Callithrix jacchus: one gene and its partners. The protein of the gene in region 4 interacts with the protein of the main gene of each other region in a biochemical or structural test. Links are inferred from orthologs where the notes say so. Each region holds a gene or a part of one and is shown on either strand. Other genes may lie near its edges.

Region 1 (7,574 bases), on a different chromosome or scaffold from region 4:
TTCCAGGTGAGGAAATTAACTCAGGACTAGTCCAAGGTTACATACTTAGTAACAAAGGCAGCAGCGGGGCCTGGATTGCCCAGGTCCAAGTTGGCGCTATATCTAGCCCTCCCCTGCCCCACCCAACACACACACGCACCAGCTCATTGTCAACAGTCTATCTATGTGTGAAGTTCACACACCCATTCGTGAGGCTGTTAGGACCTTGGGAACATTTATTAATGGCTTTTATGTCGCCAGAAGCAACCACACAATCAACTGCACTGTCGCTAATTATCTTTATTAACAACCTTAAAAGATGGATTCTTTTTATTTATCAAAGGATGGATCTTATTTATCAAATAATGGATGTTTATTTATTAAAGCACCATCCACCCAATACCAAACCCAGAACCAAAACAACACAAACACACAGGAATGAGTTCTTTTCAGAAATACTGTCTCTGTTTTCACTTTCTTCTGTGACACAGAGTGGCTCATGGCCATCACCATGATCAATAAACACTTCTATAGATGAAGAACACCACACTTTGCCATTATGGGTAAAGATCATTGATGTCAGAGGGAGAAGAAATTCAGGCGTGTCCTTTCATCAGAACAAAGAAGAGAAGTGAGCCAGTCCATTCAACAGTGCAGCGCTCTCAGCCAAGTCCTCCAGAAGGGGGTGAGACACGATCTCAGGCTCAAGCCCCTCCCCAGCGCACGACTGTTGCTATGGAACCTCACTCCCTGTCTCCCCGCTGCTGTCTCTGAGATGATGCTAGAGCCTCACAGTGGAACCTCACTCCCTGTCTCCCCGCTGCTGTCTCTGAGATGATGCTAGAGCCTCACAGTGGAACCTCACTCCCTGTCTCCCCGCTGCTGTCTCTGAGATGATGCTAGAGCCTCACAGTTTCTTCCCTCTGGCTCTCCTCCTGCCTTCCTGCAGTTCTTCTGTCTCCCTCTCTGGATCTCTTCTCACACTGCCCTGTGTCTCAGAGTTCCACCAGGATCCATTCTTTTTTTTTTTTTTCTGAGACATGGTCTCACTCTGTTGCCCATGCTGGAGTGCGGTGGTGCCATCTCTGCTCACTGCAGCCTCCACCTCCCGGTTTTGAGCAATTCTCCTGCCTCAGCCTCCCAGGTAGCTGGGACTACAGGTGCCCATCACCATGCCCAGCAAATTTTTTTGTATTTTTAGTAGAGATGGGGTTCTGCCATGTTGGCCAGGCAGCAGACTCCATTGTCGACCCTCTTCCCTTCCTACTCCACAGACTCTTTTTGGGTGGTCTTGTCCAATCCCACCATTTCAAAACATCACCACTTGCTGATGAAATCCAAATGCACAGCTTTAGCTCACATATCTCCCCAGCATATCAGAGCCATATAACCAACAGCCCCAGGTATGAGAGGCCCAACTGGGCCTCTCATGGTGGCAGCAGCCTCAGTGAGCCAAAACAGAAATCCAACCTTCCCCGATGGGCCACACTTCTTCCAATATGCCTGGCCTTCCAAGTCAAAAAAAAACTGGACATTTTACCATAATCTTGTATGCCACCTGCACCAGTGCCTAGAATCAGCCATTTCTCCAAGGAGCCCTGGTTCCTTTTAGTTAATAATCACATTTAGAAACCAAGATCTGGGTGCAAAATGTGCTCATTGCTAGGAGGCTGTCACTGCTTCCAGGCCCTCTCAGGGGAAGGGCCAAGGAATATATGTATATAGATACATTTATGTATAGTTGTACATACACACACCTACAGCTGCATTCCTGTATCTTTTTATATCTTTATAAAATATATATATATAATCATGAATTGACACCAATATCTCAAGTTTTGACCCACTACCAATGAATTCATTCGCGTTTTCTCCCTCTCCATATTTGTAACTCCCTTCTCTGAGTAACCTGGCTTCCATGGTCGTCTCTGCATTTACTCATTTGATCAACCCATCTAAGAACAGTTGCCTATGTCTGCCACTGCTCTTCCCCTGCCTCTGCACAGACAGCCTCCTCAATTTGTAAAGTCCTTTTACTTCCTGTTGGGCTGATGCTGCCCCTGCCCCCCACCCTGAGACACAGATCTCACCCAGCAGGAGCTCCAGCACCCAGTACCAGTTCCCTGCACCCGCCATGCAGATATCCTCCTGCCCTGCCCAGCACTGATATCCCCTTCCATGCCACCACTGCCACTGCCCTCACCCCAGCGTGGCTGCCCCCATGGGGATGATCCATGTCTGTTCAGGCTCCAGCACCTCAAACAAGCCACCACAATCCAGGCTAACCATGGTAGAAAGTAGGACTTAATTCCCACCACCCACCTGCAAAACTCAAAGAATTGTAGGCAGTATCGCATCTGAATGCAGAAGAGACTTTTGAGAAGAGAGGTTTGACACTGATCAAAGAACAACACAGAGGCCACTGTCTGTTCTGCCTGTGCCTACGGCTGCTCAGCCTGGGAGCTGCACTTTCAGTCCAACTGACCACTACAGGCAAGTCCTATGTCAAAGTGCTTAGCTCCACTGGGCCTCAACTGCTTCACAGAACTGGCATTTTAATGTATTTGTGAAAGGCTGGGGTATATGAAATACAAGTGCCACCATGAGTCTCATGGAAATGCCAAACTGAGAGAATGAATCAATAAGCAGGGAAAACAACCATGGTGGTTTCCATAGATGTGTAAGGATGTGGCTTTGCAGAGCCCGTGTCCCGGCAGGTCTACCTGAGATTGCCGGCTGCATTTACCTCTCAATGATAGTGAGAGGAACAGATGGATGGGGGAGCTGACAGAAAAAACAAGGAGACTCAGAGTCGGCAGAGAGTTCTAAATGCCATACATTTATGCTTGCTCAAGTGTTCTCTAGAGACCTCAGAAGCAAACAACCCCTTCCACATTCCCATTCAGTTGAGTACAGTCCTCCCATGGCCCCAGATTCCCAGCCTAGCACATCACTCTTAGAAGAAAGAAAGAGGGGGCTGGGGAGGAAGGCAGGGAGAATAAAGGAAAGAGAAAAAGTCAACAAAATTCAGGTTTGAGGAGTGGGCCATCTGAAACTTCCTGTTGTTCCCAGGCAACTTAAAAGAGAGCCTGACTGTAGGCTGGACTTTCTAGGTGTGCAGATCCAGAGAAAAGGGCAAATTCTTCCCTGTGTATGTGTGCAGTCACCCGGACAAACAGAAACCCATTTGTGAGATGGAATTTCCATGGCAGGCAAGGGCTCTGAGGGGAATGTACAGGGCAGGAACATCTGTCCTGGTACTAAATGCACCATTCCCACCTTCCCAACACTAGGGCCATCTGCATGGAGAGGCAGAGACTTCTTACTCCCTTTCTAAACATACTACAGGATCAATTTAGAGCCCTGGTATACAAGGGGAGAAGGTGATTTTGTCCCCTAAGGGATGTTTGGCACGACTGGAGATATTTTTGGTTGTCACAGTGGAGAGGAGTGTGCTACTGGTATCTCGCAGGTAGAGGCCAGAGCTGCTGCTAAACATCCCACAGTACACAGGACAGCCCACGCGGCAAAGACTTACCCAGCCCAGGAAGCCAGTGGTGCCCAGTCCACAGCACTCTGCCAGAGGCCAGCTCGTGATCACCTTTTTATTGCTGCACCCACAGCCATCTAACAATACCCTATACATTCTCTCATCAAATTCCCTCTAAGTATCCTGATGGGGAAGTGTTGCTAAAATTCTCGTACCAAAGATCAAGACTGAGCCCCAGATTTCTTTTAATAGATACCTTGTCACCAAAGTGCTGCATGTGACCTTCATAAGCAACAGAAGCTAACACTGATGCCAGTGCCCACTATGGAAAAACGAAGAAAAATCAATGCAGCTTGCCCCAGTGATGCCCAACAGCTGTGAGCCAAGTAATTTCTCCAGAGGAATCGAATTCAGGAGCAACTCTTTCAAAGCTCAACTTCTTTATCATTCATCAGTTTTCATTAAGAACCTTGAAAACCTCCAAGTCCACCATTCGAACTGTGAATTGATCCTAAGATTCTTTCCCCTGCAACAACTTAAAAAAGAAAACGCTACTCACAAGTTTCAACCCTGAAGTTGAACAACGATGCCTAGGAACAGTTAACTCAGCAAAGAAGTAAATTTTCTGAAACAAAAGCAGGAGGAGACAGAAATTTTGCCAACACATTCCAACAGCAAACATCTAACACACCAAACAAACAAAAAAGAAAACCAGCACAGAAAACAGTTACCCAGGAAATAGCTTTTTAAAGAGGGGAAATCTTACTCTGGTTGTCAAGGACAGCTGAACAATGAAAAACTGGGACGCGGACTCGCTGGTGTCATTTGCTCAGGAAGGGTCAGAAGTGGCCACAGGCTGGCTTTCCCTTTGCGTCTGGGGCATCAATGCCCAGCCAGCCTGCAGGGTCTCCAGTTCCAACATCTCGAAGGCTGCATGGCTGCAGCCTCTCATCTCGGAAGGAATCAGAGCTGCTCTCCCACTGCTGAAAATATTTGAGAAGTGCCAAGCAGATGGTCCCACGCTTATCAGCAGAAGCTTCCAATGGCATCATTCGGTGACACACTCGAGTGAAAATCTTCACGCCAATCCAGAGCGGGATGTGAACTGATGATAACGCAAGGCAGTGGACCACCTCGAACCACAAAGGCCAGCCAGGGCTAAAGAGAAAGATGACCTGGAGAAATGCCACATGGAAGGGCAAAACCACATGTGTAGTGGAAAGACAGAACCAGCTCAAATTCTCAGTTCGGCTTCTAATTACTCATGTGACCTCTGCCAAGCTCTCTAAGACTTGGTTTTCTCACCTGTAAAATGGAGCTAATAATATGACCTTGACATGTTGTAATGATGGGATAAGACTATGTATAGACCCAGAGAGACACGTGGGAGATATGTGGCTAGACAGTTAAGAATTTGCTCCCTTCCTACAACCCAGTTTCAGAGACAATCACGCTCAATGTATATAAGACCCATGGTGGGGGCCGGGCGTGGTGGCTCAAGCCTGTAATCCCAGCACTTTGGGAGGCCGAGGCGGGTGGATCACGAGGTCAAGAGATCGAGACCATCCTGGTCAACATGGTGAAACCCCATCTCTACTAAAAATACAAAAAATTAGCTGGGCATGGTGACACATGCCTGTAATCCCAGCTACTCAGGAGGCTGAGGCAGGAGAATTGCCTGAACCCAGGAGGCGGAGGTTGCGGTGAGCCGAGATCGCGCCATTGCACTCCAGCCTGGGTAACAAGAGCGAAACTCCATCTCAAAAAAAAAAAAAAAAAGACCCATAGGATGCAGTGAAAAGCAAACAAGCCAAGGAGCGGGTTCCAGGGGTGGAGGCAGGGTCTGCACCATTGGCCTTGCCCAGACTGCTTCCCAGCCTGGTCTGGGGACTCCTCCTGGGAGCAGCTGTTTCTCTTAGATGCAGACTCTCACCCGTGCAGTCAGGAACATAAGAGCAAATTCCTTTTTCCCTGATCCCTGTTCTGCACTTTTCCTTTTTTTTTTTTTTTTTGTTTGTTTTTTTTTCCTCTCTCTTTTTTTTAAACCAAAAATGGTCAATATGTTACCCATTTTTCAAAGAACCCAATGTGAAGCACCAAAGGCTGAGCAGGAGTATTCTGGATCTCTTGGATCTCAGGTAGCCAAGCCTGAGAACCCAAGCCTGAAGACCCAGCCCTCACTCATGGTAGCATTTTTCTTATGTAAAGGGATTCCTTCATAGATACTGTGCCAAATTATTAAGGGACCCTGGGGACTGATTATATCAAAATGGGTGAGAAGGCAATTTCAGACTCTGTGGGAAAGCAGCCATAGGCACCGATAGATGCAGTTTCCCTCTGACTGATTTCGTAAGCAATAAGACCATAGTCCCAGGGCAGAGCCAAACTACTCTTGTGGGAAGCCTGACCAGCAGTTCGAGTCCTCCTAGAGGGAAGAAGAAAGGGGAGAGGAGAAAGCTTCCCCTGGAGCCAGCAGGCATCTACTGGGTAGGCAGTGCTGAGCACCAAATCAATAGAACAGGTGATTTGCTGGTCTATTGATTTCAGCAAATCAATAGACCAGAAGATCCTGAAGTTGGAAAGGTATTCTCATTACCTGGTTCTGATGTTCCAAGGAAGGAGAAGGTCAGCCTCCTGGAGAACTTTAGTTTCCCAGAGGATGGTCAGAAACTAAAAGGAAACAGGCACCAGCTAAAGCAAACGGCAAGGCAGAAAAGAAAGAGTGCCTGGTGGGAAAGGATCAGAACCACGGCAGAAAACACAATTAGGAGAGAAAGAACAGGCTGCCCAGGAAGGTTCCAATCCCAGCAGGGGAGCAAGAGACCCTGAAGGAAATGCGGGATGGAGATGGGATGGGACAGAGCGATCCTCTCTGCTCCACATTCACTGCTTCTCAGAGCAGGGGCTGTCCAGATGTTATGAACATTTCACCCTGTCCTTATGGGTGCTGTGAAACCCTGCACAGTGACCAACTAGAAGGAGGATGCCGACGTCATTATGTAAGTCAACAGAACTGAGGGCCTCACCGAGTTGCTTTTTCCAGCATCTAACAGAACAGAAGTCTGTCCCGACAGGCAGAGGACAACAAGCTGCCCAACGTGGAAGTTGATAATGGTCACGAAGTGAATGAAGGGCAAGCCACCGTGAAGCTGGAATGGCCTGATGGCTTCTAGGTAGGGAGAAAGTCTCCAAAGGGGCTGGTGGCCGGCTAGGGGAGCCTGAAAGAGGTGGCTCTCTTCGTCCCCGGCTTGAGTGGGTGGCAGAAGGCCCCAGTTGTTTTGTGACTAATTGGCACCACTAACAAAGCAGGAACTATCACAGATGGAGAGGGAGTCGCATTTGTGGCAGATAATGATTTATCCTTAGAGAAAATACAGCAGCTCACAGTAAAAATAAAACTGCTTGCATTTAAGCCACAAATAGGTTGGCTATTTCTGTGCTTGGTTTGTCTTTGTGAGTAATCATTCTCCTCTTGAGAGGTGGGCAGAGTTGCGGGGAAGGAGGTGTACTAACAGCGGGTAACAAAGCAACCGAATCTGGGAAAGAGGAGGGTCTGGAGCTCCAACTTCCGGCGGAAGTTCTAGCATCCACCTCCAAGTCAAACCTTCCAAAGTTCCCTAGAGAAACAACATCCCTCTTTCTCCCATCAAACAGCAGAGAACCATAATGAAGAGGGCCTGGAGAAGGGCCTTATGGGAGCAGGGAAGAAGGAAACATATTTACCCACAGCCACGCAGTGGACCCATAAAAGTGGCAGTAGGCACAGTGGTAGGTCCCCAAAGCCCCAAAGTGCCATGGTGCCTTCACTCAGCACTAAACCGAGGGAAGTCTAAAGAATTCACGTCACATCCTAAGATATGTTCCTTATCTGGAAGGAACTCTTCCATGTCCTCCATGCCAAGCCTGTATTCTGGGGGGATGACCATTAAATGCCTCACTCCCCAGCACTCCCCTCTATGTTAGAAAGATGAAAAGTCAGGGGGGCAGGGGGCTGGGCTGCAGGAATGGAGGGAATGGTCAGTTGCTTGAGTACTCATTTTCACAGAAGACGGCCTCAGAGTAAGAAGTGGAAACAAACAGAAAGACCACAGAATGGCAGGCAACT
Region 2 (7,554 bases), on a different chromosome or scaffold from region 4:
AGGTTTATATGGGCAAGCTCACCAAAGGACGAAGCCATATGGTATACCAATTACACATTTCTACATCAGGGAGAGAACTTATATATCCTGGAAAATCTCTATTGAGTTCTTGTTAGTGTTCAATCTGAACGTAACTTCCAATGTAGCAAATCTATGAATCCTGATCACAGTTTCCTGTTACAATTTTAAGGTTTGTGCTTTTGGTACTTTGCTACACACACGCCCATGGGTAAGGCTGTCTTTCTGCACACTCATTGCCCTCTTCTTCCTATTCCTGCAGTGCACAATCTCACCAGATTAAGCAGGACTGGCAGTCTTCTCCTCCCACTGCCATCGCTACTGGGACTGGCAGCCTATCTCCCCACATTTTCCATTATAAATCAATGGCTGCCTTCTTCAAAATCGACGAAAAGTAGTCTTCACGGATATTTGGAATCACTGACAGGGTCCGTTTCTGAATCCACGTAATACTCAGTTGGAGAGCATGGGGGATGACAAAAAAATCTATCCTATTTCCTGCCAATACATAGAAACCAGTCCCAAGATTATAGGGGCTTCCTCTCACTCACTAAAGTGATTGAGCCTGGGTACTAAGTGGTTAAATTATATACATTTGTTCTTAAAGCTTAAAGGACTTTTGTCATTTAATACCTGAAATTTGATGGGCCCGTATATATGTTTTGGGCTGAGAAGATTTCTTTTCATTTAAATGTGAAGACTTATCTAGACAAAATAAGTAAATAATCAGGAAATCAAGAAAGTGAAGCATTTAACTGCTACTTCAGTGTCTAGTAATTTCAGACAAAAAAGGACAAAACCCCTAAGAAAATGCATCTTACACACTCATGGTGGGGAGTGGATAGAAATTAACCATATTTGGTTCCTAGGGAAATTATAGTGACATTCATCCCGAGACTGATTATACATGCTCCAAAATATATTTCTTTAAATATTTATTTTTATATTCTTAAAGAAGCTCATCCTTTCTTTCTTTCTTCTCTCTCTCTCTCTCTCTTTCTTGCTGGAAAGGGGTTAAACTTCATAGCAGCTTTTGTTGAGGCTGCTCCTGTTTGTGCAACCTTCTGCTGGTCTCTAAAACATCTACGTCATTAACCTTTCTCAGAAGATGGTTGCCTTGTCTTTAGAATATGCCATTGCAAAAAACAATGTTCAGTCTCGACATTTCCCTATTAGAGAATACTCTCTCGTGTTAAAGTGTAGCATAAGCCAGACATGAATACTCTTTACTTTGATTTCTTTACTGTATGGTCATGATATAAAAAGCCTATTTAAAAATAGAGTATTTTAATGTATTTTGGATAATGTAAAATCACTATCAGGACAGAATTTCACCATACTTTCCTTTAGGAACTAACTTTATGAAAAAGACCCCATCCTTTGGGTGCTTTAATTTTCTTAGAAACTTAAATCCTTTCACATTTGCTTTTACCTGTGATCTGTCCACCCAGAACTTCTGGCAAAATGATCTACTTGACTACGCTAGAGGAAAAACATTTACTTCAGAAGCCCTTTTATATATTTTTGCTTAACCATGAAAGCATTTTTCATTCTAAACAGCCTCTGGAGAAATCTGCACACACTGATCATCTGCAGGCTGTGATTTTCTATTGGAAAACAAAAATAAGCTGTGGAAGCCACTTACTGCATTCCAAGTAGGCAACTGATCATTCAATGAGTCTTTCCTGCATTTCCATGAAAGTTGCAGCTGAGTTAAATGGCCACATCACTGGTTTTTAAATTTATTTTTAGAATATAAGCAATCCCAAATGTCACTTCTTAAGTCAAGTGCAGCAGATGGGATCTTGAAAGTGCCTACACATTTAATCTGGCTGTGAAAATTTAGGGCAAATCTGGAGCTCTCAGTAGGTAAACACCTTATTTGGTCTGGAGGCATTTTGCTATGTTATTGAATCATGAAAACCTATTAAAAGAGCTCTATAGAAATCCAGTCTGTATTCTGAACAAAACAAGCTGTCTTTTTCATTATTGCTGACCCCGTACAGACACACGATACATAATCTCAATTGTGCTTCATTGGTATTTATTGCACATGGACCAATTCCTCACACAGTAGTTAGTTGCACCAGAGTATAAATACTTGGTAAAACACACAAGAGGAAATAGAATTTACACACAAGTGCTAACTTTCACCAGCAAATTCACGTGGGCACTTGGACATAAAAAAAATAAAAAATCCTTAAGATAATTATATTTATAATATGGATACAGTTACAGTACCATGATAAAGGAGTATAAAAAGGTATTTTCCCAATAAATCATTAGCTCTATAACATACTAGACAACAGAAGTAGAGCTTGAATTTTATTTTAGTTTTTAAGATCTGCCCACCACTTCCCCAGTTAAAAAATATTTAACTTCTTTTTGTGCAAGTAATGTTTTCTGTGGAATTTGTAATTCCTAACACTGTGCAAAAATGGCATTTTGAACCACTCCTTTTTTTGTTTTTGTTTTTATCCACATGTGCAGTAATCAAAACTGTCTCTCTCTCTCTTTTCATGTCCTGTCTTAAATTGACAAGAGTCACATGTCACAGAGAGAGGCTCTGCGCCTGGTCCTTCCAACTAGTATTGATACATAAATAAGCTGTTTAATATAAACAAGTCTTTCTATCTGCTGTGCAAATGCACAGTGTGAGGTAGAAATCCCGTAGCCTGACCATCCAGGCGCGCGGGGGATCAGAGGGTTTGCCCTACACAAGGAAAGCAAATTGGGGCTTGTTCCAAGAAGAGCTTAACATTTCTTGAAACGTGATTTTTTTTTTTTTTTTGCATCCATCCTTTTCGCTTTCATAACAGCGGAAACCATTACTTAGGAATTAAAATGAAATTTCTCTGGAAAGCAAAAGGAAATAAATATGCCTTGATAAACTGTCATTCTCCTCTCTCTGGCTGGTAGACTGCCCCTGTTCCTGGGACAGGGTCGGGAGCCAGGTTGATCGGATTTTAATCCCCTCCTAATGCTTCTTCTCCCTTCCCCTGCCCACCCAGCTTCCACTCCCATCCTCGTGGAGTCAAAAACCACCTGGGGGGAAAAATCTAAAGATGCATCACAGGCACACACAAAAGAAGGCCGGACCACAAACAGAAGAAGAAGGAAAACAACCCAAGGAACATCAGCAAGCCACTCTCCCACCCCTCCCCAAACTTTCCTTTTTGTGCAACGGTCCGTGGCTTTTCTGTTTGCCTTGGATGATTCAGACGAGGTTTGTGGGCTTCGAGTTCACCTGCTTTCGGTCTTGAGTAAACACAGATCTCCGAGATCCCCCGGGAAGCCGTTCCGGGGCGCCGGGCCCCTACACCTTGGATTCCGAGGCGAAGCCGGGGCGGCACGGCTCGTCCAGGCTCGAGTCGCTGTCCGCCGCCGCCCCGCCGTTGCAGCCGGCCCAGGGCTCCAGCAGGCGCGCGGGCGGCGTGGCCCCGACGACATCGTCGTCGTCGTCGTCCGACGCGGCCCCGGGCGACGGCGGAGGACCGGGCCGGGCCAGGCAGCCCGAGGCGCGCGGCCGGTCCCCGTGGGCCGCGTGGCGCCGGCTGGCGGCCCTGCGCGCGCAGCGGAGCAGGCGCTGGAAGGCCTTGCGGAAGTCCGGGCTGCGGCAGTATATGATGGGGTTGAAGGCCGAGTTGGCGTAGCCCAGCCAGTTGAAGAAGACGAAGAGGCGATCAGGCACCAGCTCGCGGTGGAAGGCCTTCACCACGTTGGCCAGGAAGAAGGGCAGCCAGCAGAGCGTGAACACTCCCATGATGATGCCCAGCGTCTTGAGCGCCTTCTGCTCGCGCAGGGCCACGAGGCGCGAGGGCCGCCGCTTGCCCGCGCGCCCGTTGGCCAGGGGGGCGGCGGCGGCGGCGGCGTTGGGGCGCGGGGGTCCTGGCGCTGACGGCGGCGCGGGCGCGGGGGCGGGTGAGGGCGGCCGCTCCGGGCCGCCGAGGAACCGGCGCTCGCAGCTGTCGATCTTCTTCACCTGCTTCTGGGCCTCGCGGAACACCCGCAGGTACACGAAGGCCATGATGCATAGGGGCACGTAGAAGGAGACCACGGACGAGGCGATGGCGTAGGCCCGGTTGGTGACGAAGTCGCAGCACTTGGGGTCGTTGTAGCAGCGGCGCGCCTCGTCGCTCTCCGCCCGCCACCAGTGCATGAGGATGGGCAAGAAGGACACCAGCGCCGAGATGGCCCACACGGTGCACACGAGGCCCCTTGCCCGCGCGCGCGTCAGCAGGCTCTGGTAGCGGAAGGGCGACGTGATGGCGAGGTAGCGGTCCAGGGCGATGACACACAGGGTCTCGATGCTGGCCGTCACGCACAGCACGTCTACCGAGGTCCACAGCTCGCAGAAGAAGGAGCCGTACTCCCAGCCGCCCCACACCACGATGGTGGCCCCGAACGGCACCACCAGCAGCCCCATGACCAGGTCGGCGCTGGCCAAGGACATGATGAAGAGGTTGGTGAGCGTCTGCAGCCGCGGCGTCTTGGCGATGGCCACAATCACCAGCACGTTGCCCGCCACGATGAGCAGCACGATAAGCGCCATCAGCAGGCCCATACCCGCCGTCCACTGCTGCGACAGCGGCTCGAGGCCTTCGCTGGCGGGAGGCAGCAGCGAGGCGGGCGGCGACGCGGGCACCAGCAACCGCGCCGCAGTGGCCGCGCCGTCGGGGAGCGGCGCAGCCGACGACAGGTTGGCGGGATCGGAGGCGCCCAGGACGAGCGCCCCCGCGCCCATGCCGAGCTGCGGAGGCCGGGGGCGGTGGGTGTGGCGGGGCTGGGCAGTGGCTAGGGAACACCCCAGGAGCCCGGGCGGCGGGGTGCGCCGAGGGAGGTCGCGGCCGGGTCAGGACAGCCACGGCGCGGGGCCGGAGGCATGGGCGCCGGGCGCCTTTCCCGCCGGATCCGAGCGCTGTCGCTGTCGCCGCCGCCGCCGCCGCCGCTGCCGCTGCTGGAAGAGCCGCCGGGACCTCAGCATGTTTCTGAGCGCGCCGGGCCCGCAGCTCCGGCACCCAGCACCCACCCCACCCCGCTCCCACCTCCCCAAGCCAACCCCCGGGGCCTCGCGTCAGGTTCCTGTAGCCAATCGGGGCAAAGGCACGCCCCCGTCGGGTCTGCCCCCCCCAACTCCCCGCACCCCACTCCAGTTGGCAATTGAGCCGCTCCTGAGAGTCCGGAGCTGATCGCGGAGCTAGTGCCTCCCGTGCGGCCCGCGGGTTCCTGCGGACGCGCCCCTTCCTGCGCCCGCTGGTTCCAGGTCCCTGTTCCGCGCACCCCCTCCCGCGCCCGGCTCCCCCGAGGGGCCCCGCCCCCTCCCGCGGCCCCCAAGTGCTCCCGCAGCCGCTGCTGCGCCCCGTTTGCCTCCCGCGCCAGGCTCCCTCCTGCGCCCCTGCTTCCCCAGCATCCCCTCGACCTGCAGTCCTGGGGGTTCCCTGCGGCAGAGAGCGCTCGCTCCTTGGAGCGAGGAGGGGACCTTGGTGTTCTGGAAGCGCCAGAGCGCCTGGGACTGCTTGCCCGCCGGGCATGAAGGAGTTTGCCCTGCGAGCTTGGTTGTGGCATGGGGCAGCCTAGCAGGGTGTGTGTAAAACCCTTCCCCCGTCAAGAGGCGACCCAGCCAGCCTGTGTCGTGACAGCTTGGGGGATCAGAGGTGGGTGTTAGTGGTTAGAGGAAACTTCCCAGCAGAGCGGGTTGCTGGAGCCAAGGGCGCATCTGTTCAGAATGCTCTCTGGGCGCTGTTCTTGCAGGGATCTTCTGTTGAACCTCAAGTGCAGTGGAAGTGGAAAGGATGCGAAGGTTTGTGCATCTAACAGCTAACGCTGAGGACCCGCTGGCATCGTATTCACTCCTCAGTCCCAGCTAATGAATGTGTGAGCAAGATGCAACGGTGTGTGCTCATGATAAAGGGAGAGGCTTAGGGAGACAGAAACGTTGAGATACAGAGCAAACGGTACGACTGCGAGGGGAAAAAAAACATGCTTAATTACATTTTAGACTTGTCAGTGATAACACCTGTATTTTGTGTTTTATTACTCTTGTGATTTTGTAATTTGAGCTAGGTCAGTACCAACACAAAGGTACTGTCAGTTTCGGCTGACGTCATGAACTACCATTTCAGATTCCTTGGTCTGCTGCTTGTTTTCTCCTTTTCCCAAGTTCCCAGATTCTCAAAACTCTGGGATTAGTTTTGGAGGGATGAGACAAGAACACATATAAATACTCCAGAGGATTAAAATCCGAAAGCATTTAAAGTTGTATCTGTGTTTTTTTGAGTTGGCAAATGAATCGCTTTGAAATGAGTGAGTTGTTAACCTGGCGAAATGGATTATATTGGGGTGGGGGCACAGCCATGAATATTCAGTGCGGCAGGACTGCAAGCCCCTTCTCTCATTTGGCCCCTGTAGTGTCCTCAGTTCAGGCTCGAAAAACAAAATATCTTTAATTGGGTCCTTGAGAAGTAAACAGCTTCTAATTGTTTATGTAAGGGTGCATGAAAATGTTATATAATTCTCACAGGTCCTTCTGGCATTGGAGTAAGAACAGTGCCTGCAATGAACATCAGCATCTTTGCTGATGTTGGTCGTCAGTATGATCAAGCTCATATTCTTACCTTGCAAGGAGAGACTGATTTCCACAGCTGTCCAGGTCAAAAGCAAAAAGGAATGTTTTTAAAGTTTATATAAAGCCAAGCAGTTTTAACCACTTTCTTTTACAGAAATGCAAACATATGAATTTGCTTTAGGCCCAAGACTGATGGTTAGAGTGTTACAACTGGGGAGTAATTTGCTTATTCACTCCCTGCCCAGGATTTATCAGCTGATTTGCCAACTTGGGGGGGTTGAGGAGGGGTGCCAGGAAACAAGAGGACTTAGAAAAAGGGGAAGAAGGAGACTACACCCCAAGTTTTCCATGTCACCGCAAGCCTGAGATTCCTGGCGTCTTTCTTTCATTCTTTCTCCTTCTCTTTCTTTTCTTTCTCTCTCTCTTTCTTTTCTTTCCCTCTTTTTCTTTCTCGCTCTCTTTCTCTCCTTCTTTCTCTCTCCCTCGCTCCTTCCTTTCTCTTTCTCCCTTCCTTCCTTCCTTTTGTCTTTGCTTTCCTTTCTTCTTTCTTTTCTTTCTTCCTTTCTTTCTTTCCTTCTTTTTCACTCTTGTTGCCCAGGCTGGAGTACAGTGGCACGATCTTGGCTCACTGCAACCTCTGCCTCCTGGGTTCAAGGGATTCTCCAGCCTTAACCTCTCAAGTAGCTGGGATTACAGGCATGTACCACCACACCTAGCTAATTTTGTATTTTTAATGGAGACAGGGTTTCACCATGGACTGGTCTCGAAAACCTTGGCCTCCCAAAATGCTGGGATTACAGTAGTGAGCAACTGTGCCCAGCCTTCTGGCTTCTTTCTGGGCCCCCAAGGGGCAGTCTCAAAATAGCCAAGGGATTGGAAGAAGTTGAAATTGATGCTGCTCAGGAAAGGAGCTCTGAGTGCTGGGCTGCAGGGTGAGGCACAGGGAATGTGGGGAAGAGGTTTTTCCTTGC
Region 3 (7,635 bases), on a different chromosome or scaffold from region 4:
TGCAATCTCAGCTCACTGCAACCTCTGCCTACCAGGTTCAATCGGTTCTCCTCACAGCCTCCCAACTAGCTGGGATTACAGGTGCCTGCAAGCACGCTTGGCTAAATTTGTCTTTTCAGTAGAGATGGAGTTTCATCATGTTGGCCAAGCTGGTCTCAAACTCCTGACCTCAAGTGATCCACCAGCCTCGGCCTCTCAAACCGCTGGGATTACAGGCATGAGCCACCGTGCTGACTTCTTTCTTTAAAGAGACAGCGTCTTGCTCTCTCACCCAGGCTAGAGTGCTTTGGTGCCATCCTGGCTCACTGAGGCCTCAATCTCCTGGGCTCAAGCGATCATCCTGCCTCAGCCTCCCAAGTAGCTGGGACAGCAGGTGTACACTACCATGCCTGGGTAATTTTTTTGTATTTTGTAGAGTCAGGATCTGGCTATGTTGCCCAGGCTGGTTTCAAATTCCTGGCCCCAAGTAATTATCCCATCTCTGCCTCCCAAAGCACTGGGATTATAAGCATGAGCCACCGTGCCCAGCCATTGCTGGAGTCTTAGCCACCCCAACATGTGTCCCAAATCTCATTTGTCCTCAGCTCAAGGGATGGGAGCTCAAACTTACATTAGATGCTATCAGTACAGATAATCTCTCAACCACATCCAAAAAAACTTCATTCTTCTGGCTCTGAGAAAGAGAGAGGATTTGGGTCGTTGGAAGCAGAACAGTCTATGTTCTGAAGTGGACAGACAGAAGAAAGAACAGAAGAATGGTCAAAGCTACAGCTCTAGGGTAGGGACACAGGTGCCAGAAGGGATACCCACATCTAGGAGAGGTGGAAAACGTACCAAGATCTTTTTTTTTTTTAATTTTTGCATTTTTAGTAGAGATGGGGTTTCACCATGTTGACCAGGCTGCTCTCAAACTCCTGATGTCAGGTGATCTGCCTACCTCAGCCTCCCCAAATGCTGGGATTACAGACATGAACCACTGTGCCCAACCTAAAATCTTGGACTCTGGGGTCCCAGAGCAAAACCACAAGGTTGGACCCCATGGATCCCTCTCTCACCTGGTCAGAGCGACTGGACAGAATGGGGCGGCTGGCTGCACTGCTGGGGGCCACTTTGCTCTGTTGTGTCTCAGCCCCAAACTGTAAAGTATCCAAAGCAATCAATCCTCAGGTCTGACAACCCCAGGCAACACCCCTTCTCCTTCCTCACCCTCCTCTTTTTCTCTGCTGACCAAGCCAACACTGCTGAGGTCAAAGAGGCTGAAGGGCTTGCTGACCACAGCTTCCGTCTGGATGAAATTCCTCAGCATCTCCATAGATGTGGTCTGTACGTAGCCATAATCCTAGCGTAAAAGAAGGACAGTCTGAGAAGTCAGTGGAGGGAAGGGGTAAAAAAGGTGAAGTGGGGGCCGGGTGCAGTGGCTCACCCCTGTAATCCCAGCACTTTGTGAGGCCAAGGCAGGTGGATCATGAGGTCAGGAGTTCCAGACCAGCCTGACCAACATAGTGAAACCCCATTTCTACTAAAAATACAAAAAATTAGCCAGGCAGGTGGCATGTGCCTGTAGTCCCAGCTACTCAGGAGGCTGAGGCAGAAGAATCACTTGAACTCAAGAGGCAGAGGTTGCGGTGACCAGAGATCCAGCCACTGCACTCCAGCCTGGGCGCCAGAGACTCCTGTCTCCATAAAAAATAAACAATTAGTTGGGCACAGGGGAGGCTGGGGCAGGAGGATTACTTGAGCCCAGGAGTTCCAGGTTACAGTGAGCTATGACTGCACCACTGCACTCCAGCCTGGGTGACAGAGCAAAGACCCTATCTCTAAAAGGTAAAAAAAAAAGGAGTAGACTTGGTCTCCCAACCACAGCATCCCGCAGTAGAAGAGCAGAAGTATCTCCAGGGGAATTGGGGGGCGGGCACAGAAGGGGATCATTGATTCTCACCAGCACTTCATCCAGGAGCTCGTAGACCACAGCCACGTTGCGGGAGATGGTCCCCTCACCCAGGGCGCCACAGTAATCGCCCAGAAGGGTGGCCAACCTGAAGAAACACTTGGGAGTATGCATTTCCTCCTCCTCTTAGACCCCCACTAGCTACCAGGTGTCCAGCCCAGCCCTCCTCACCTGGAGAGCAGTTCTAGGAGGCCGAAGGGAGAAACGTTTTCTGAAGTTGTGACCACCAAATAGAGGCCGCTGTGTCTGATGTGAATGAAATGACGGCCCTCGTGATGCTGAGACACAGGCAGGTAGAGTAGCATTAGGAAAAAGGAGCTGGGGTGATCAGAACCCAGGAGACCTGAGCTCGGATCCCGATGCCTCTTACTAGTCACAGTAGCAGTGACTTCGGGAGATACATGACAGGTTCCTGAACCCAGCTTCCCAATGTGGAAACGGGGTTAATTACAGTAGCTACACCTAGTTGCTGAGGATGGAGTCATAAAGGGAGCTGGGCCTGGTGTTTTGCTGCCACCTGATGTAAGTTTTTTTTGTCCCAACGTCCCCCCCCCCCCGACCCCTGCCCGATGTAGTCTTGCTCTGTCACCCAAGCTGGAGTGCAGTGTGGCGATCTCGGCTCACTGCAGCCTCTGCCTCACGGGTTCAAGCGAGTCTCCTGGCTCAGCCTCCCTAGTAGCTGGGATTACAGGCGCTCACCACTAGGCCTGGCTAATTTTTTTGTATTTTTAGTAGAGGCGGGGGTTTCACCAGGTTGGCCAGGCTGGTTTCGAACTCCTGACCTCAGGTGATCCGCCCCCCTCGGCCTCCCAAAGTGCTGGGATTACAGGCATGAGACACCGGGCCTCTTGTTAGTTTTATATGGAAGAATGCACCCCATCCCAAGTGGAAGCTACCAAGGAATCAGCCCTGGGAGGGAGCCGGCGGGCCAGGTGGGCGCCGGCTCCCTGCTCCCCACCCGCCTCCCGCCAGTGGTTACCATGACAACCGGGGACTCGTCTCCTGGCAGTCCCGTCAGCTTCCGGTAGAAGAGCTCGGCCACATCCCGGCCGCCACTGTCCCCACGGACTGGCGGGTGGAAGAACTCAGTGAAGAAGCCTGCGACACGGGCTGGCCCCGGGCGCCCCTCCCGCCCGACACCTCCGCCCCTTCCCAGCCCCGCGGGTCTAGGATACAGTCTTTGTAGATGAGCGGGTCCCCCTTGGAGGACAGAATGAAGAACTGGGAAATCATGGCCGTTCTGGAGAGTAAACGAGAAGACGGCGAAAGTTGGGCCTGCCCCGCCCTGAGGCCCCGGAACAAAGGAACACGCGTGCGCTGGCCCTTTAAGAGCGATTCTGCTCCGCCTAAGCCAGCTCGGACCGCGGGAAACCAGACGCCCGCCCAGCCTAGCTCGGCGATTCCCTCCCGACGCCCACACCGCCTCCCCGTCACTCATTCCAGGTCCTCCTGGTGATTGGCTTGAGGCTAGCTGGAGGCGGGGAGAGGGCCGGCCTCTGCAATTGGCCGGCAGGCAGTGGCGCCGGTCACGTGGGGGCGACGTTTCGCGCCAATTTCGGTTGGTCAGCCACAGTCCACCGCGCGGACGTTCTCCGCTTGCCCGGGACCCAGACCTCTGAGTCCGCCAAGCGCTGCCGTACGGGCCTCGGTAGTGATGGCACTGAAGGACTACGCGATCGAGAAAGGTACTGCTCTACGAGCCTGGGAGGGCGTCCTGCGCGGGGAGCCTCCCGGGGAACACCTATTGGTGTGAGCTGGGGTCTTGTGGAGCCGGGATCAGCAAGTTCTGGGGACCACAAGGCTAGAGGCAGGGTCGGGCGGCCGCCCGGCTGAGGCCCACGAGGCGCAGGTGGCATCCATGTTGAAGAAAAGCTGGTAATCCCACGTAGTAAAGGTGTTAGGGTCATGGAGTTGGGGGCTTGGGGGCGCTAACCTGGCTGGGGGGGTGCTGCATAGGGGAGAATCGCGCCCAAGACCTCGGAGTACCCTAAGGACTCTGGGGTTCCGGGCCTGCTTTCCTCCGCGCTTTTGGGCATTCCCCAGTTCCCGCGTCCTCCCGAGGCGCGCGGAGGCCCTGGGGGCGGGCAGGCCGGGCCGCTACGCACCAGGATTGGCCGTTTGAGGCCGCCCTCCAAGCGGAAGTGGAGCCGGGCGGAAGTGGCGCGACGCGGATGGAGGGAGTGTCGTGTAAACAGTGTCCTTCCGCGCAGCGGCCTCGGAGAGAGCTGTGGCCCAGGGGAGGGGGCGTGCCTGGGAACCGGGAGCTTCGCTCGTGCCCCGGAAAGGCGGTAGTGGGCTGGGATCGCGGCGGCCCCAGGCGTGTTGTCCAATGGCTGGATGGGCTCCCGCCCTGGGCGGAGGAATCCCGGGCTGTGAGGCGGCTGGAATCCGGTCCCATGTGCTTCTTTGTTTACTAAGAGCGGAAGCGCTGGCGGGAGCGGGGGTGGGGTGCGCGACCCGCCTGATGGCGGAGGTCCTGGCGAGATCAGGGGCTCAGGGGCCCAAAGAAGGTGGGGGATCATAGGGGTGGAAGGAAGGCTGAGAACCTTGAGATCGGAGTGTGGGGCGCCGATGAGGAAGGGCGCTAGGGTTTTAAAGTAGGGACCGGAATTCCCCTGGGAAGACGATGTTGGATCATCCTGTGAACTGCCACGACCTCTTTATTCTTCGCTGATTAAAAACAAACTTGTGAAAAAGAGTTATACCCATTTTGGGGAGAATTCGGTAGGTTTATTTAAATGCTCATATCGTTAACTAGTTCATAAATCGTGTTTTAAGTGAAAATAGGCGTCTTAGATTTCTGTCAGAGGGATGGGCAGTAATATAAAGTTTGTGTCTTATGATTTTACCTTTTACGTTACAGAAAAGGTTAAGAAGTTCTTACAAGAGTTCTACCAGGATGATGAACTTGGGAAGAAGCAGTTCAAGTATGGGAACCAATTGGTGAGTCTAAGATTGGGTAAAGAGAATGAGGAGTCGGGTTTTAAGAAGTCCTAAGAAGCGGCTTGTTTCATCAAGGATGTTTTTCTGACATGTTTATCAGGGCATTTGATATCTGGTAAGAGAATGTGATGCTATAGTATTTTCATAATAATTAGAGAGTTTGGGGGCTGAGAAGTGAGTGTGCTCTCTGAGGTGCTATGTTCTCCCCTGTGGATGCCCAGAGCCCGTGCTGAGCTCTCAGTGATGCATCTTCACACGTGAACACTGAACAAGTGAACATGGCTCTGAGGTGTTGCTGTCTCTTTCCCACCTGAGGTTCGGCTGGCTCATAGGGAACAGGTGGCTCTGTACGTGGACCTGGATGATGTAGCTGAGGATGACCCTGAGTTGGTGGACTCAATTTGTGAGAATGCCAGGCGCTACGCAAAGCTGTTTGCTGATGCGGTACAAGAGCTGCTGCCTCAGTACAAGGAGAGGGAGGTGAGTGACTGGAGAACAATGCAGGGCAAGGCGTTTCAGCTTCTGTTAAGAAGCTTCTCAGATACTGATGTTTTCGGAGCCAGGCAGAAAGCAGGGGCACTTCTGCCTGGCATTGTCTGTGCTCTCCTTTCCCCATCCTGTTACTCATTTTTTTCTGCTCTTCTCCTTTAGGTGGTAAATAAAGATGTCCTGGATGTTTATATTGAACATCGGCTTATGATGGAGCAGCGGACTCGGGACCCTGGGATGGCCCGAAGCCCCCAGAACCAGTATCCCGCTGAACTCATGCGCAGATTGTGAGTGGTCTCTGTTGGGAAGGATGTAGGGATTGGTTTGTGACTCCAGGATCTTGTTTGTGACTGTTTTCTCCTCTTAGTGAGCTGTATTTTCAAGGCCCAAGCAGCAACAAGCCTCGTGTGATCCGGGATGTGCGAGCTGACTCTGTGGGGAAATTGGTGACTGTGCGTGGAATCGTCACCCGTGTCTCTGAAGTCAAACCCAAGATGGTAGTGGCCACTTACACTTGTGACCAGTGCGGGGCAGAGACCTACCAGCCGGTACGTGTGGAGGAAGGAGCAGGAAAGCACTTCACACTTAGTCATTTTATAGAAATTGATATGATCCATGATGCCTATCGTTTTTTCTGGTTGTAAAAGCTACCTATGTGTTCACTTTTCATTCTTGGGTATGTAGTGGTCTTTCTATTTTCTGGGTGTCTTCTGTTGTCTAGAATAAGCTCAAAGAGTTCTTGATTCAGAAGATGTCTGCCATGAAGAGAAAACATGATTCAAGAGACCGAGATGGGGCTGTTTTTCTTCTGACTTCCTTTGGTGTTTCTGTTCTCAATCCTAGATTCAGTCTCCCACTTTCATGCCTCTGATCATGTGCCCAAGCCAGGAGTGCCAAACCAACCGCTCAGGAGGGCGGCTGTATCTGCAGACACGGGGCTCCAAATTCATCAAATTCCAGGAGATGAAGATGCAAGAACATGTGAGTTTGGGGTATGTGGCCCTGGGCAGGTGGATCAGGAGTCCACTTGAATCCTGTAGTCACTGGTGGAATGGCAAGAAGAACAAAAGAGGGAAGTGCAGGAGTGAGGTGGAACTGGGGTTTCTTGAGAGCCTTGGCAAGGGGAGAAAGGCAGTCTCAGCTTCCGTCCTGTGGGCTTATCTGTGGCTGGGCAGGCAGGGAGTCTTGGCGTGGGATGCCTAGGGAGGGAAGGTTGGGTCCTTGTTTATTTCTCCTGAGCCTTATGTGCTCTTCCCTCCCCTAGAGTGACCAAGTACCCGTGGGAAATATCCCTCGTAGTATCACAGTGCTGGTAGAAGGAGAGAACACAAGGATCGCCCAGCCTGGAGACCATGTCAGTGTCACTGGTATCTTCCTGCCAGTCTTGCGCACTGGGTTCCGACAGGTGGTACAGGTAAGGAAGGGAGTTTGATATGAGGAACAGATCATCCCATTTCCCCTCACCCACTGTACCCATACAGAGAAAAGTGAGTAGCAAAGCACCAAACAAAACAACACAGTGCTTTATCAAGAAATTGTTAGGGAATCTGGTGATGGGTAAGTTCTAAGGATTGCATCTGTATCCTGACATTTTCCTGCCTAAGGGTTTACTCTCAGAAACCTACCTGGAAGCCCATCGGATTGTGAAGATGAACAAGAGTGAGGATGATGAGTCTGGGGCTGGAGAGCTCAGCAGGGAGGAGCTGAGGCAGATTGCAGGTGATGCTCAGGAGAGAGAGGAAATTCCGTTTACATCCTACCCCCCCATTTTCCCCCACAAAATACCTTAACCTTAAAATTCTCCACAGAGGAGGATTTTTACGAAAAGCTGGCAGCTTCAATTGCCCCAGAGATATATGGGCATGAAGATGTGAAGAAGGCACTGCTGCTCCTGCTAGTGGGGGGTGTGGACCAGTCTCCTCGAGGCATGAAAATCAGGGGTAAGAAGAAAAAAGGGCAAGGCTCAGGGTAGATGAAGTCATTTGGGAGGAAAAAAGGATGACAAGTGTCCCCATAGGTCACAGTATAAGAGTGGGCGTCTTCGATTCATGGACACAGGGAGGGCTTAGAAGTAATGCTAGGTGTTGGGGGAGGCAGAATTCAAAATTGCTCTGCTGTTGGCCAACTTGCACTGGGAGAAGAGTCATTCCTGGGCTGCCTGTCTTCCTCTAGGCAACATCAACATCTGTCTGATGGGGGATCCTGGTGTGGCCAAGTCTCAGCTTCTGTCATATATCGATCGCCTGGCCCCCCGC
Region 4 (6,203 bases):
ACCATGTTGGCCAGGTTGGTCTCAAACTCCTGGCCTCAAATGATCCCCCCACCTCAGCCTCCCAAAGTGCTGGGATTACAGGTGTGAGCCACCGTGCCTGGCTCCCTACTTTTACTTCTCCAGCCCACTTACTTCTCCTACTGTGTTCTCTCTAGCTGACTGTACCTCAACTACATAATTTAGTTTTGCTCCTTCAATATCCTAAGCATATGTTTATAAAGTGAACAACAGCTTTGAAGTCAGATAGATCTGATTTGAATCCCAGCTCAGATATTTCATAGCTGTGTGACATTCGGCAATTTACTCTCCCCTTCTGAGCCCAAGTTTTTTCATCTGTGAAACTGAGATAACTGTGCCCACTATATAGGCATATGGTGAAGATCCAATAAGATAATGTGTGCACAGTGTGTGGAAGATCACACTCTCTGTATGTTAGCCATGGCTGGGGCAAGAAGGGAAGCGGCCACTGTGCCATTCTTGTTTTTCTTTTCTTTTTTTTTTTTTTTTTTGAGACTGAGTTTCACTCTGTAGCTTAGGCTGGAGTGCAATGGCGAGATCTTGGCTCACTGCAGCCTCTACCTCCCAGGTTCAAGTGAGTCTCCTGCCTCAGCCTCCCAAGCAGCTGGCACTACAGATGTGTGCCACCCCACCTGGCTAATTTTTATATTTTTAGTAGAGACGGGGTTTTACCATGTTGGCCAGGCTGCTCTCAAACTCCTGACCTTAAGTGATCCACCCGCCTCAGCCTCCCAAAGTGCTGGGATTATAGGCATGAGCCACCACACCCAGCTCACCATCCTATTCTTAAAAGGGGTCCAAGGCCAGGCATAGTGGCTCCTGCCTGTAATCCCAGCACTTTAGGAGGCTAAGATAGGAGGATTGCTTGAGCTCGGGAGTGTGAGACCAGCCTGGGCAACATGGCAAAACCCCATCTCTACAAGAAATTAAAAAATAAAAAAATTAGCCAGCCATAGTGGCACATGCCTGTGGTCCCAGTAACTTAGGAGACCAAGGTAGGAGGATCACGTAAGCCTGGAAAGCTGAGGCTGCAGTGAGCTGGGATCCCACAGTTGCACTCCAGCCTGGGCAGCAAAGCAAGACCACATCTCAAAAACACTTCACAGGGTGTTCCAAGTGAAGGCACCAGACTGCTGATGGCCAGAAGGAAATGAGTGAGTCTTTCATGGTTTGGGATATTGCTGAAAATTTAGTGGATAAGCTGAGAAAGTTTCATTTTCACAAAGAAACAAAGAATGCTGCCATTATAAATAAGCTAAAAGTGATTGCCTCAAAGTTAAGTTACCTGGTCTTTTTTTTTTTTTTTTTTTTTGAGGCAGAGTCATGCTCTGTGACCTAGGCCGGAGTGCAGTGGTGCGATCTCTGCTCACTGCAACCTCCACCTCCGGGGGTTCAAGTGATTCTCCTGTCTCCTGAGTAGCTGGGATTACAGGCAGGTGCCACCATGCCCAGGTGATTTTTGTATTTTTACTAGAGACAGGGTTTCACCATATTGGCCAGTCTGGTCTCAAACTCCTGACCTTGGGTAATCTACCCTCCTCAACCTCCCAAAGTGCTGGGATACAGGCAGGCACACCAAGCACATGATCTTTGTTTTATCTTGTGGCTACATTGAAGAAACTGGATCTTTAGAAAGTTTTAAAAATGTTCTGAGCTGGGCGTGGTGGCTCACACCTGTAATCCTAGCACTTTGGGAGGCTGACGCAGGAGGATTGTCAGGAGTTCAATACCAGCCTGGCCAACATGGTGAAACCCCGTCTCTATTAAAAATACAAAACATTAGTGAGGCTTGGTGGCAGGCACCTGTAAAAGCTACTCAGGAGGCTGAGGCAGGAGAATCACTTGAACTGGGAAGTGGAGGTTGCAGTGAGCTGAGAACATACCACTGCACTCCCACTTGGGTGACAGAGCAAGACCGTGTCTCAAAAAAAAGTAAACAAAAAAACCTTCTCCATCATTGCTGTTGTCATTGTGATTTCAGGTAGGGAGTCATAGCCACCGCCCACTCACATCCAGCCAGCACATCACAGTTTCTGAAGCACTAAACATTCCACTCTACCTCCCTTCTGCAGGAAAGGGTCCTGAAGCTCTCTAAGGTGGCTTTGAAATAGGTCCACACATTCTTCCACATTCCTTTCTTCAAGAGGTGGAGCCTGATTCCCCTCCCCTTGAGTGTGGGCTGAACTTAGTGACTCACTTCTAATGAACAGAACCACGGTCTGTGGCTTCCAAGACTGGGTCATAAGAGGCACTGTTTGTGGCTTCCTCCTTGCTCTATCTTCTGTCTCACTGTGGGGAAAGCCAACTGCCATATCATGAGAAGACTCAAGCAGCAGCTCTAGGGTTAGGCCTGCATGGTGAGGCACTGAGACCTCATGACCATAAGCAGTATTGGAATGGATCCTCCGACCCCAGTCAAGCCTTCAGATGACTGCAGCCCTGGCCGACAACTTGACTGCAACCTCATGAGCAACTCTGAGACAAGAACAGCCCAGCTTAGCCCCTCCCAAATTCCTGACCCACAGAACCTAGGACATAATGAATATTTGTCATTTTAAGCTGCAAAATTCAGGGTCATTTGTCTGCTAAATTTGGGGTAATTTGTCACACAAAAATAAATAACCAATACACTCTCTTTGGCCCTGTGGTGAAGGTCTGTTCTTCTCCAGGGAAAGGTGCCCCGGTCCTTGGTCTGGTCCATCTTGGGACTGCAGGGGCCACCCCAGGGCCCAAAGGCCAAGGCACAGACCACAGACACTGGGCCAGGCTGCCTGTATGCTCACAGGCTATTTATTTATCCAAGAGTAAGGAGGAGAGAGAAAGGATGAAGAGAAAAACCAGACTCCCCAAGGTGGCGGAGCTAAGGGGAAAAACAAACAGAAAGGCTCCTCTTCTTTCTCTTGCCGCTGACCCCAGGTATTCCAGCTTCAGATGGGACCTCTGGGGGTGGCTTAGGGGCCTCAAGGAGGCCTGGCAGCTCAGCTGTTGGCTGGGGTCAGGATCCACACAGGGGCAGGTCCCAGGCTTGGAATGGCTTCTGTGTACACAAAATATCTCTCTGCAAAAGGCACTAGTGGAGGGGGGCAGCAGGAAGGCTACCCCATCACAGGCAGGGTCCACTCTGTCCTGGGTCTGGGTCCTGGGCCCCAAGACCAATCCAGCCTCCCTCAGGGGCGGGGTCTCTGAGGAACCTCGTTCCTCTCCTCTCCCTTCTGTCAGCCCAGGGGCGAGCAGGCATTCGGTGGAGGCCCAGCTCAGGCCATGTTATAGACACCCCTCTTCAGGGCTAGTGCATCCGGCGACTTCTAGGCCAAGAGCCCAAGGCGGGTGACTTTGGCCGAGAGGAAGGAGTGGATGATGAAGACTATGGTTTTGGGACACGAGTGGAGGTCCAGCTGCTGCAGGGTGGATGGAGAGAAGAGTCAGGGCCCTGGCCAGCCTGGCTTCCAAGAGTGCACACCCCCTCCTCCCCAGGGTACAGAGGCTGCCCTTCACTCACGATCTCGCCTTCAGCACCCCCAAAGTCCAGGAAAAGGAGACTGGCGCCATCATCTGAAGACATCTGCAGCTTCTCGAAGGGTTGTCGCAGGAGCACAGCTCGGGCTGCCCCTGGCTCAGCCGCCCACAGTGTGAAGCCCTTGTCGATGTGCACAGACAGGCTGCAGGGACGCCCGTTCCACGTGCAGGCTGCAGGAGGGGCACGTAGGTACAGGCATAGCTGGCACCTCAGAGACCACACCCCAACCTCCAACCCCCACCGCAGCGTCACAAAGTGGGGCCTAAATGCCTCCATGTATGGTAGGATCACTGTTTGTTGTGGCACCTGTATACCCATCCTGCAGAGAGTCACCACCCCCACCCTCAGAGGACCTATACCCACTTCCAGCCCCACTTCCAGCAGCACTACAGTATAAAGGGGGGAGCTTAAAATCTGTCATGGACAGGAGGCTCACTCCTGATAAAGGCATCATCAGATCTACCAAGCACCACCCTTGGAGACTTGCAGAGTTGCCCAGCTAAATTTAAATTTCAGATAAGCAATGACTAATTTGGGCATAGTTCTATGAAAAAAGTATTCATTGTTAACTTGAAATTCAAATGTAGCTGGGTGTCCTGTATTTCATCTGGCAGCCCTACCCCAAGTGCCATCTCTCACATCCTCAGCAGATGGACAAAGCTGGGGCAAGAAAACCCCAGGGAGAAGAGTCTCTGCCTACCAGGGCACCTGCACATCCAAAACAGAGGCCCAAACCCAACGTTGGTTTCTTTTTTTTTGAGGAACAATCTCACTGTCACCCAGGCTGGAGTGTAGTGGGTGTGATCTTGGCTCACCACAACCTCTACCTCCCAAGTAATTCTTGTGCCTCAGCCTCCCAAGTAGCTGGGACTATAGGCACCTGCTACCATGCTCAGCTAATGTTTGGGGTTTTGTTTGGTTTTATTTTGTTTTTTGAGACCGAATCTTGCTCTGTCACCCAGGCTGGAGTGAAGTGGGGCTATGTGGGCTAACTACAACCTCTACCTCCAGGATTAAAGCAATTCTCCTGCCCCATCCTCCCAAGTGGCTGAGATGACAGGTGTGTTCCATCATGGCTGGCTAATTTCTATTTGTTTGTTTTGTTTTTTGAGATGGACTGTTGCTCTGCCGCCCAGGCTGGAGTGCAGTGGTGTGATCTCAGCTCACTGCAGCCTCCGCCTCTCAGGTCCAAGCAATTCTCCTGTCTCAGCTTCCTAAGTATCTGGGATTACAGGCGTGAGTCACCGCGCCTGACCTAATTTTTATATTTTTAGTAGAGACGGGGTTTCACCATTTGGCCAAGCTGGTCTTGAACTGCTGATCTCAAGTGATCCACCCGCCTCAGCCTCCCAAAGTGCTGAGATTACAGGTGTGAGCCACCACACCCAGCCAATTTTTGTATTACTAGTAGAGACGGGGTTTTGCCATGTTGGCCAGGCTAGTCTCGAACTCCTGACCTCAGATGATCCACCCACCTTGACCTCCAAACCCCATTTCCTGTCTGAAGTGCCCTAAAGAAGGAAGCTTGAATGTCCCTGAGGAGAAGAGGCTCATTACCAGAGGGACACTCCCAGATCCTCCCAGCACACCTGTAGACACCTCCTGCACACCCTCGGCGGCCCGGTGACAGCCATCCACCAGCTGGCGGGTCCAGGCAGCCAGCTCCTGCGGTGACTCCACGCTGAACAGGTGAGTGTCCACACCGTGACGCGTGCCCGTGCGCAGGGCAAAAGAGAGCTCTGCATCATAGGGCACTGAGCCCTTGGAGGGGCCTGAGTGCACCAGTCTGGGGGATGGGGGGGGCAGAGGGCTAAGCATGAGGCCTCAGGCAGGGGGCAAATAGTTCTGGGCAAGGGGATCAGTGTCCTGGGAAGGAATCCTGGGAATCTTTCACCACCTAACAGGACAAGACTTGCTAGGGGGCACTGATTGACTCAATAGGAGACATCTGCCACTCTCCCCGTCATTCCCTTGGCTCTGGCTATACTGGTGTCCTCACACACAACACCCAGCACATGCCTGCCTCAGCACCTTTGCATATGCTGTTTCCTCTGCCTATACACGCTTCCTTGATTATCCTCACAGCTCACTCCCTCACTTCCTTCAGATGTTAGCTTAAATGTCACCTCCTCTGAGAAGCCTTCCCTGACCTTCCAGTCCAAAATAGCACCCTCGTTACTCAATAGCCTTACTTTTTCGTTATGGTACTAGAAATTATACTTTTTATTATTTGTTTCAGTTAGTTTTTTTACTGTATTTTTTACGAAAATGTCAGCTAGGGTAGAAATTTTGATCCTTTGTTCACCACTGTATTCCCAGTAACTGAAACCATGCCTGACCATAGTAGTTGCTCAATAAACATTTGTTGCCTGAGTTGAATCACTTGATTCAGTGGACTGTCCAAAACCTAGTTATCCCTAGTAGCCAGCGGGCTCCTGACACACAGGCCAGAGCCAGCCTGAGGTAAGGAGAAATGGGTGACAAGGACTTCGGACTCCTGCAGCCTGACTCTCACTTGCTGTGCAGCCTTGGTAAGCCAACTGCCCCTCTCTGGGGCAGACCTTAGAGTTCTGGCCTGTATTCCTCTTTGTTCTTCCCTCCACCCACTCCTTCTCTTATAGCTCAGCTCCCCGTGAACCACTGCTGACACCAGCCTCCCACTGTCCAG

What was found.
Region 1: the proteins of SNTA1 (region 4) and MAS1 interact in a test that uses a peptide from one of them, tested with the Homo sapiens proteins (2 studies listed by BioGRID and IntAct). The link is inferred for Callithrix jacchus from reciprocal best matches to the Homo sapiens genes SNTA1 and MAS1.
Region 2: the proteins of SNTA1 (region 4) and ADRB1 interact in a test that uses a peptide from one of them, tested with the Homo sapiens proteins (2 studies listed by BioGRID and IntAct). The link is inferred for Callithrix jacchus from reciprocal best matches to the Homo sapiens genes SNTA1 and ADRB1.
Region 3: the proteins of SNTA1 (region 4) and MCM7 interact in a test that uses a peptide from one of them, tested with the Homo sapiens proteins (2 studies listed by BioGRID and IntAct). The link is inferred for Callithrix jacchus from reciprocal best matches to the Homo sapiens genes SNTA1 and MCM7.

The regions. Positions count from the first base shown.
Region 1 is NC_133505.1:166,710,097-166,717,670, reverse strand, and holds the start of MAS1 (proto-oncogene Mas), read right to left. Parts: upstream 4,435-7,574; 5' UTR 4,236-4,434; intron 1-4,235. UniProt on the Homo sapiens protein: Receptor for angiotensin 1-7. Acts specifically as a functional antagonist of AGTR1 (angiotensin-2 type 1 receptor), although it up-regulates AGTR1 receptor levels.
Region 2 is NC_133513.1:106,981,648-106,989,201, reverse strand, and holds ADRB1 (beta-1 adrenergic receptor), read right to left. Parts: upstream 5,032-7,554; 5' UTR 4,763-5,031; coding exon 3,335-4,762; 3' UTR 2,042-3,334; downstream 1-2,041. UniProt on the Homo sapiens protein: Beta-adrenergic receptors mediate the catecholamine-induced activation of adenylate cyclase through the action of G proteins. This receptor binds epinephrine and norepinephrine with approximately equal affinity.
Region 3 is NC_133503.1:13,480,759-13,488,393, forward strand, and holds the start of MCM7 (DNA replication licensing factor MCM7), read left to right. Parts: upstream 1-3,505; 5' UTR 3,506-3,602; coding exon 3,603-3,633; intron 3,634-3,881; exon of another isoform or gene 3,882-4,060; intron 4,061-4,356; exon of another isoform or gene 4,357-4,672; intron 4,673-4,811; coding exon 4,812-4,891; intron 4,892-5,206; coding exon 5,207-5,371; exon of another isoform or gene 5,372-5,375; intron 5,376-5,542; coding exon 5,543-5,667; intron 5,668-5,747; coding exon 5,748-5,928; intron 5,929-6,223; coding exon 6,224-6,361; intron 6,362-6,644; coding exon 6,645-6,794; intron 6,795-6,984; coding exon 6,985-7,099; intron 7,100-7,188; coding exon 7,189-7,320; intron 7,321-7,552; coding exon 7,553-7,635. Other genes in the region: AP4M1 (AP-4 complex subunit mu-1), read right to left, coding at 611-673, 1,056-1,136, 1,229-1,339, 1,940-2,036, 2,120-2,226, 2,928-3,016, 3,124-3,181. UniProt on the Homo sapiens protein: Acts as a component of the MCM2-7 complex (MCM complex) which is the replicative helicase essential for 'once per cell cycle' DNA replication initiation and elongation in eukaryotic cells.
Region 4 is NC_133506.1:5,909,471-5,915,673, reverse strand, and holds the end of SNTA1 (alpha-1-syntrophin), read right to left. Parts: intron 5,322-6,203; coding exon 5,125-5,321; coding exon of another isoform or gene 5,093-5,124; intron 3,706-5,092; coding exon 3,518-3,705; intron 3,417-3,517; coding exon 3,324-3,416; 3' UTR 2,777-3,323; downstream 1-2,776. UniProt on the Homo sapiens protein: Adapter protein that binds to and probably organizes the subcellular localization of a variety of membrane proteins. May link various receptors to the actin cytoskeleton and the extracellular matrix via the dystrophin glycoprotein complex.